2 linked regions of the Macaca mulatta genome follow. The protein of the gene in region 1 purifies or fractionates together with the protein of each later gene. This does not show direct contact. Links are inferred from orthologs where the notes say so. Each region holds a gene or a part of one and is shown on either strand. Other genes may lie near its edges.

Region 1 (4,537 bases):
GCCCTGTTGGAACGGTGAAAAGAGCCAGGAGATCTTCTGACAATGGTCCTAGCCTTCTTGGAAGTAGTTAGGAAAGGGGAAATCAAGGACATAATAATAATATAATAGGAATAATGACTAGTGCTTATTGAGTACTTACCATGTGCTAGGTAAGCACCTAAGATTACCTCTCTTTTAACCCTGAGATATGGAATTTCCCAGTTTGCAGATGAAGAAACTGAGAAGTCACTTGCCCAAGATCATCACTAGGCCAGCTAGTTAGTTCACGCACCCTTTGATTTGAAGCCAAGCAGTCTAAGTCCAGAGCTATCTTCTTAAGCCCCCCACTGCATTGCCTCTGGACAACACAGACTTCCGTTTGTCAGTGGTGTTCAAACCAGGCACCTCCATCTTGAGTAGAGGCTGGGTAAGATGAGGCTGAGACCTGCTGGGCTGCATTCCCAGGAGGGCAGGCATTCTTAGCCACAGAATGAGACAGGAGGTTGGCAGGACTGATTTCACAACATACAGGTCAGGTCACAAAGACCCCTATGATAAAACAGGATGCAGTAAAGAAGCTGGAGAAAGCCCACCCAAACCAAGACAGCAATGCAAGTGACCTCTGGTCGTGCTCACTGCTCATTATATGCTAATTATAATGTATTAGGATGTTAAATACATTAGACACTCCCACCAGCGCCATGACAGTTCATAAATGCCATAGCAACATGGAGAAGTTACCCTATATGGTCTAAGAGGGACAGGAACCCTCAGTTTCAGGAACTCCCCATCCCTTTTCCGGAAAACTCCTAAACAATCCACCCCTTGTTTAGCATATAATCAAGAAATAACCGTGTGTATACTCACTCAAGCAGCCCATTCCCTGGTCTGCCTATGGAATAATCACCCTTTTATTCCTTTAGCTTCTTAATAAATTTGTTTTCACTTTACTCTGTTGGCTGGCTCTTGAATTCCTTCCTGTTCCACGCCAAGAACCCATGTGGCCCCCAGGCTGAGCCCCAATTTAGGGGTTCATCCTGTGACCCATTGGCTGGAAAAAGTGTAAGGAACCCAAGCAGCTTTGTCATTGTCCCACAGCTCCACTCTCAGCCCCACCCAACAGCCACATCATTATGCTAGCCAGCTCCAGACCCTTGAAAAAAGTAGCCCTCTAAAAATGTACAGTTTCCCAACCCATCTATCCAGAGGGGGCTGAGACTTAGCTGCCTGGAAAGGGTGAGAGTTGGGAGAGGGTAGGTGTCATCTCCTGAAGGAGTTCCTAGGGTGACCAGAGGTCATGGGCGTCTTCTCCCGGACAGGTTGAGGGGGAGGCTGGAGGGCAGGGTGGCTGAGGCAACAAGGGAGCAGATATCCCCCGGAGTGGAAAGGACATCTTGAAGGGTCCCTGGCTGGCCTCCCTCCTCAGGCCCTACTTACGCAACACTGCGGCCAGGCTCAGTGTCCCTCCAGCCAGGCGCGCGCACGCTCACAAGACAACATCTGAACCGCAGTTTGGGAACCCAGCCAGGAAGGAGGACTCGCTGGCCGCTCTCCGACCCTAGCGGAGCGCAGTCCGCCCCCGCCCCACGCGCCAGGCCCTCCAGCGCCTGCCCCACTCCTCTTCCCTCCTGCCGGGCAAGCTCTCTCCTTCTTTCCTCCGACCCTTTGGAGAAGTTCGAGGAAACTTTCCGAGGCCCAGCCCTTGACCAATTTGTCCATTAAGCCAGGTGAAAAAAGATGCGCTCTCTGCTTCCCTCCTGCCCCAATCACTTCCCAAATGGCCCCCTTGAGCTGTTTATTTAAAGGCCCCTCTCCGGATCTGTGCTGAAGGTTCCTAGAAGTTTGCCAAGCCCCGCGTTGGCTAAGCTCCCTCCCATCCTTATGCGCGCATAAATTTACCCAAATTGTGTGCCAGAGCCCCGTTCCCAAAGTCCTACATTAGGAAAAACGACCCCTTTAGCTGTCTGCCAAAGGCCTACCAAGACGCTTGGCGAGAGCCCTTAGCAACTGCCCAGATGTGTCCAAAAATTGTTTACAAAGACCGCCCCCCCTTGCCAAATGTCCCAGATACTAGAGGAGGTCCCCGCCATTTACATAAGAGTCCCTTTCCAGTAGTTTGCCAGGTCACCCCTCTCCCGCTCTCTGGCTTGTTTTTCGCCCCACTGCTGTATCCTGAAGGTTGCCAAATTGTTTATCAAAGGTCTTCTCTGCTTACAAAAGATCCCCCACCGTTTGCAAGACATCACTCCAATAGCTTACCAAAGACCCCCCAAGCTGTTTACCGAAGCCCCTCCCCCACACTGTGTGCCCACCGCCGAGGGCAGGGGGAGAGACACCCCCATGTTTTGCCTCCGAAGTTTGTCTAAACTTGGTTCCTTGAGGCCAGCGCAGCAACTCACCACTGCCAACTCTTTGTCCGTTTTGGGGGCAACATCGCCGGGGAACTTGATGATGGGCGACGGCGCGGCGGCGGCATGGCTCAGCAGGCAGCCCAGGAGGCAGAGCGCCCTCAGGGGACCCGTGAGCGCGCCCCGGGCCATTAGCGCCTCCATCGTTGCGCTCCCGGGCCCCGTGCGTCGCCCGGGGGTCGCTGGCTCCGTGCGTGTGGCCGCGTCGCCGCCTGGTTGGAGCCTGCTCTGCGGCTCAGGGCTGCGCTCCGAGGGTCCGCTGGCTCGGTGGCCTGGGTTTTGCCCGGCTCAGCGGCTCATGGTCCGGCCCCCGCGCCCCCGCTGCCGCCGCCGCCGCCGCCGCAGGTCCTGGCAATCCCTTTGTATGTTTAAAGCCCCAGATGCGCAGCCTCCAGCCACCGCCTGAGGAAGTCTGGATGCAGCGGAAACAAGGGAGGGCAGCCGCCAGATGTAGCCGGCTGGGCTGGGAGGGAGCTGGCTGGGCCGGGCTGGGGGTGGGGGGCGCATTCGGGCCCGCCCCTCTCTGCCCCACCCCCCTACTCGCCCTCCTCCGCTTTTCTCTCTTTTTCCCTTTCTCCACCTCTTTTCCCCGGCCGCCTGCTACTTCTGGCCTCCGCGTCCACCCTCAGTGCACGACCTCGTCACCCCACTTCCCTCTCTCGAGATCTGGGCTCACAGCCTCAGAACCCCTTGCTGGGAAACATCTGGCGCTGTCGCTCTAGGCCCTTGACGTCCTGAGGTTAGAGAGTGGTACTACTTGGAGGAACGCCGGCTGGGCCAGGACTCCCTGCACTCCCTGGGGTCAGGAACGGGAAGGAATGGTCAGAAACAGATGATCAGCCACATTGATAGATGGTCAGAGACAGAAATTTTCGATATTTAGAAATGGGGACAGAGAGGAATGAGATGAACAGAGATGGAAAGAGATAGAGAGATGGAAACAGAAACAGTGGAACGTCCCAGGTTGCTTCGCTACCTCTTTCCTTCTGCAAATGTGTAAGCCTTAACTTGGCCTCGCGTAGTGCGAGATGCTAGATACACCTTGGGAAACAGAGTAGTCACGGCCCCGCGTTAGAGACGTTTGAACCAGAGCGACTCCATCTTGAACAGGGGGCTGGGTAAAATGAAGCTGAGACTTGCTGGGCTGCACTCCCAGGAGGGTCCGCATTCTCAGTCACAGGATGAGATAGAAATTGGTCAAGACTGGTTTAATAAGATAGAGGTCACAAAGACCCCACTGATGAAACAGTATGCAGTGAAGAAGCCAGCCAAAACCAAGATGGCAAAGAAAGGGACCTCTGGTCATCCTCACTGCTCATTTTATGCTAATTATAATGCATTAGCATGTTAAAGGAAGCACCCACCAGTGCCAAGGCAATTTATAAATGCCATGGCAATGTGGGGAGGTTTACCCTATATGGTCTAAAAAGGGGAGGAGCCCTCAGTTCCAGGAACTCCCCACTTACTCTTGAATCCTTTCCTGAGCCAAGCCAAGAATCCATGTGGCCTCTCAGGTTGAATGCCAATTTTGAGGTTCTCCCCGTGACAACATTCTCTGAGGAATGTCCTCTCCCTTTGTCAGGAAAGACAGTTGAGAGATAAGCTGTGATGGGAAACTCTCGCAGGCTATTGGGAACACCTGACTTCAGCCCTTAAACTAGCAAAGACAATCAAGGAAGGCTTCCTGGAAGAAGTGACTTCTGAGTTGAGACCTGAAGAGCTAAAGATGTGGAGTGCTGGGTGGGGAATATGGGAAAAGTTTTAGGCACAATCTAGGGAACATTGGCAAAGGCCCAGAGATGAAAAACAGCAAGAGGCACTGGAGAAGGAAGTTTTTTCCATCTGAAAAAGGTGGGGCACAGGGTGAGGGGATGGAGCTGGAGGGGTCAGTAAGGACCAGCCTAGGAAGGGGGCAGATAGGACTGGGGTTCAGCAGGGAATAGTTTGAGAAGCAAGGTCAGGGGCTGAAAGAATCAGGAGCAATATGCTTGTGGAGGGCTTTGGAGGTCACGATTATGAGTCTTGATCATCACAGCTGGAAAAGTCTCTGCGGCTTGGGTCTCAGTGGGCTTCGGACAAGTTCAGGCTTGTCTGAAGGGGGGTGTGTGCTGCTGACTTGCCAGAGTCAGTTTTAAAGGAGCCTCTTGGGA
Region 2 (3,802 bases), on another chromosome or scaffold:
TGCCTCAGCCTCCAGAGTAGCTGGGATTACAGGTGTCCACCACCACGCCTGGTTAATTTTTTTTGCAGTTTTAGTAGAGACGGGGTTTTGTCATGTTGGTCAGGCTGGTCTCGAACTCCTGACCTCAGGTGATCCACCCACCTCGGCCTCCCAAAGTGCTGGGATTACAGGTGTGAGCCACCGCACCTGGCTGAATGCATACAATTTTAACAAAAGAAATAAAAGACCTCAGACCTGGCAGAACTCAAGACAATCTCAAAGGAGGTCCACCCATCTGTTAAACAGCACTTTTTAAAAAACAAAAAACAGCGTCAAGTGGAGATGGTGATTTGGATGCCCCTAACCGACGTGGCCCAGGTAAAATCAGCCCCTGGGGGCCTCCCGGTTGGAAGCCCAGGGATAAAGATGAACTTCTCCGTTCTGTGGATTCCTGTCCTTTTTAGGGAACCTCCGGTTTGGCTGACAATGAGAGGGAGCGGGACTGAGTGGGAAAGACCAGGAACAGATGCATCTCCCAAGAGAGAAGTCAGGTGGGGCAGGTTGCGGGAATGGGAGACAACAGACACCCCCTTCCACAGGCCGGGACGCCTGCAGGGCCCCAGGACCTGGCAATCTGTTTATGTGCAGCTTGGACCCAAGGACATCTGGCGATGCTCCAGGTTGAGAAATTCCAACTGTTTATGTGATCTCTGCAGGGGGCCTGGCCAAAGGCCCCGGGACACTGGGAGCAGGCTGGGGCCCGGGGCAGGGAATCCTTTTTAAGTGATCCAGACGGCTGCTGCTTTTCCCAACAAAGGTGAACTGGACTTTCCGGAGCCGTGAGGTTCCTGTGGGGCCACCTCGACTCTCCGCCCTCTCCTTGACCCACCCTTGCCCACTGCTGGCTTCCCAGGGGCCTGGCAGTGGAACACCTGTGCCCACCCCACACGCCCACCCGCTTTCAGGAGCCCCGACACCACGTCTACACTCACAGAACCAGCTTACTCGGAAATGTGAGCCAACGCAAAGCTCGCTCAAAGGTTTCAGTCCGGCTCTCCCAGAGCGGGGAGGGGAAACCGGGATCTCGCAGAGCCAGCCGCACCTGCCCACTCCTGAGCTCCCATCTTCCTCCCATCTTCCTCCCCGAGCAAGGACCGCCTTTCACTGAAGCAATGGGGACAGCACAAAAGAAGCCCAAGGCCAACCTCAAGTCCACCTGCGGGCCAAGACCGTCTGGGGAAATGCGGCAGGATGTCCCACCTCCCAGTAACAAGGGTGGCTCGGGGCTGGGACCTTGGACGCAGCCTCTGCTGTTGTTCACTTTCTGGCCAACACCCTTGGGCAGAGCAGAACAGGCCTGCAGCCCCGCTTCTGGGTGAGTCCGCCCAGGTGGACGGCTGTCACTCTCCCCCGTAGCCACTCTGCTCCCTGAGCTGAGGCCTGGCTCTGAGGTTGTCCACATTGCTGAGCAGGGGGACCCTGGCCTCAGAGTTTCCCTTCACACCTCTGCACCCCCTTGCCCTGCACCCAATGACCCTTCTGCCTCAGACAAGCTCTGTCTTTCCTGGACCCCCAGAGAGCACTGGAAAGGGGCTCCGGTCTGAGAAAAGGATGTGTCTGTGGGCACTGGCAGGTCCTACCCCCGGGCTGGGCCTGCAGCAGGGGCATGGAGCCCCACCAGAGCCATCCAGACGCTTCCATAGGCCAGGAAGGGGTGAAGCCCTGGACCCTGGGAATTCCACCCCAGAGATGGGACACATCCCGTCTGCCCTGGCCACGGGCTTCAAACAGATTCCAAGGGGATAAATGCCTGCTAAGTGCCATCTGTCAAGGTTCCAACAGAATGTCCCCAGCTCTACAGGAGGGTGGTGGGTCACCATGACTCCACATTCCGGGAACCGCAAGGTCACGGGGCTTCTGGGAGCCCCAAGGTGTATCCTGAGCTCAGCCCTCAGGAACGGAGCCCTGGCAGCAGAACAAACAGCCGCCCCCAGCCTCGCGACTGGCCGTGATGCAGGACGCGCACATCCTCCTGTGGGCACTTGGACAACATGGCAGGGTGGGCCTTGGTGCTGGCTCCTCCCTGCTCTCAGGTCGTGCCTACCACATGCAGCTGCCAGACTCCCTGCCCAGCTGTTCACGGGGCATCTTGCCCGCCGGCAGGGTGGGCGGGATGTCAAGACCTTGACCTTAGCGCCTCTGAGACCCCAGGGAGAAATGCAGGCCTCCCAGCCAGGCCATGACCCCCTGAGGGACAAGGACACCCCAGTGTGGGGCAGGGCCCCCACCAAACACGCCAACCCAGGAGGGGCATCTAGAACGTCCTCCGCTACAGTCCCACACTTGAGGGCATTATCAACAGTAACTTTTTAAACTCACCCATGATCTGATTACCTAACATAGTTGGGTTTTACTCAGCTGGAATTTCGGCACAGTGCTGTTTTATTTCATTATTTCAGCACAGTGCTGTTTTATTTCATTCCCTTGACAAAGTTTCATAAACAGTATTCCATGTTTCAACGGCTTCAGTAAACTTACTCCAAACGGTTGCATAACAGACGCGGAAAGTACAGCCATGTGTTAACTATTCCCTACCACTGCCGCGCGCATCTTTTACAAGGAATGGCCCATTTACATTCTCTCCTCCACCCCTCAAAGGGGACTCCACCTCTGCCTCGAAAGCGCTGAGCTGCTTTTCATCCCGGGTGAAACTGACAAGCACTGAGATGCTCAGAGCTCAGGTGCAGGACGGGCTGGGATCAGCACCTATCCCGCCCCCTCCATCATGGTCCAGAACATCCCCGACCTGAGGGGATTCTTCCCAAGTCCTGGTGACGAGTGGTGCGTGGACTCCACGAGACCAGGTGATTCCTCGAAGTGACCCAGTCCGCGCAGGTCCAGGGGCCCACGGACCTGGTCACGCCCTACACACCCCACTGTGCTCCCAAGCAGCAGACACCACGGCTTCAGGGAGAGAATGAGAAAATGTCCTCACCGGCTCGATGATTGCTGGTTCTCCCTTTTGGCCTTTCTCGCCCCGAGGTCCTCCAATCTGGGGGTGATAAAAGGCAGATGGAGAGAGAATCGGAGAGAAAAGTGAAAAAGAAAGTCCAGATTACACAAAATCTGCCCGATTTCACAAGGCGAGGGCACTATCGCAGTCAGGCGTCTCCCCAGGCCCAGGAGGATGGCAGGAGCGTGACAGAGGCCAGGCCCATGGAAGCCCATGAGACTACTAATGAAGAAACAGGCCCGGAGGAGAGCATGCCGTGATGCACACGTTATTCAGAGCAAATTCGAGGCACTGAGGTCTCTTTAAAAATAAAGTTTTGGGAACAGCATGCAACACTTGAGCTGCCCGTAGAGCCCCACCCCTGAGGAGGCTCCTGGGCAGGAGCCCCCATGATGCCCCGCCAGCTCCCCAGCCCCACCTGGAATGGGGGCCTGCACCCTCTCACCCCTTCATAGATGGTATCCTGGTTCGCCGGCATTCCTGGCCCAATCTCCGACGGGGAGTTGGTGGGGTCATAGTAGGGGTCGTAGTAGTTCTCGTCAAGGTTCCTGATGGTTTCCTCAGTGAACTCCCCCTCCAAGTCATCCGCACCTTCCCCTGGAGGCGGAGCTGGCTGCAGAGGGAGAGGAAGGCGCAGGGTCACCTCACAAATGCACCAGGCACTGCCTCTCCATCAGACCCTGGGCGGGCACCATGGCTACCCAGTCAACCGGGCAGAGACCCCCCTCTGGGAGAGACCTCCTCTGAGGGCTCCAGGTCTGACAAATCCAGGACTTCAAGACCAGCGGCCTCCTAAGCTACACAATGCCT

What was found.
Region 2: the proteins of MMP2 (region 1) and COL5A1 purify together in Homo sapiens (co-immunoprecipitation; 3 studies listed by BioGRID and IntAct, counting the BioPlex papers as one, with this or other methods). This does not show direct contact. The link is inferred for Macaca mulatta from reciprocal best matches to the Homo sapiens genes MMP2 and COL5A1.

The regions. Positions count from the first base shown.
Region 1 is NC_133425.1:50,966,937-50,971,473, reverse strand, and holds the start of MMP2 (72 kDa type IV collagenase), read right to left. Parts: upstream 2,811-4,537; 5' UTR 2,532-2,810; coding exon 2,379-2,531; intron 1-2,378.
Region 2 is NC_133420.1:7,772,950-7,776,751, forward strand, and holds part of COL5A1 (collagen alpha-1(V) chain), read right to left. Parts: intron 3,606-3,802; coding exon 3,438-3,605; intron 3,032-3,437; coding exon 2,975-3,031; intron 1-2,974. UniProt on the Homo sapiens protein: Type V collagen is a member of group I collagen (fibrillar forming collagen). It is a minor connective tissue component of nearly ubiquitous distribution. Type V collagen binds to DNA, heparan sulfate, thrombospondin, heparin, and insulin.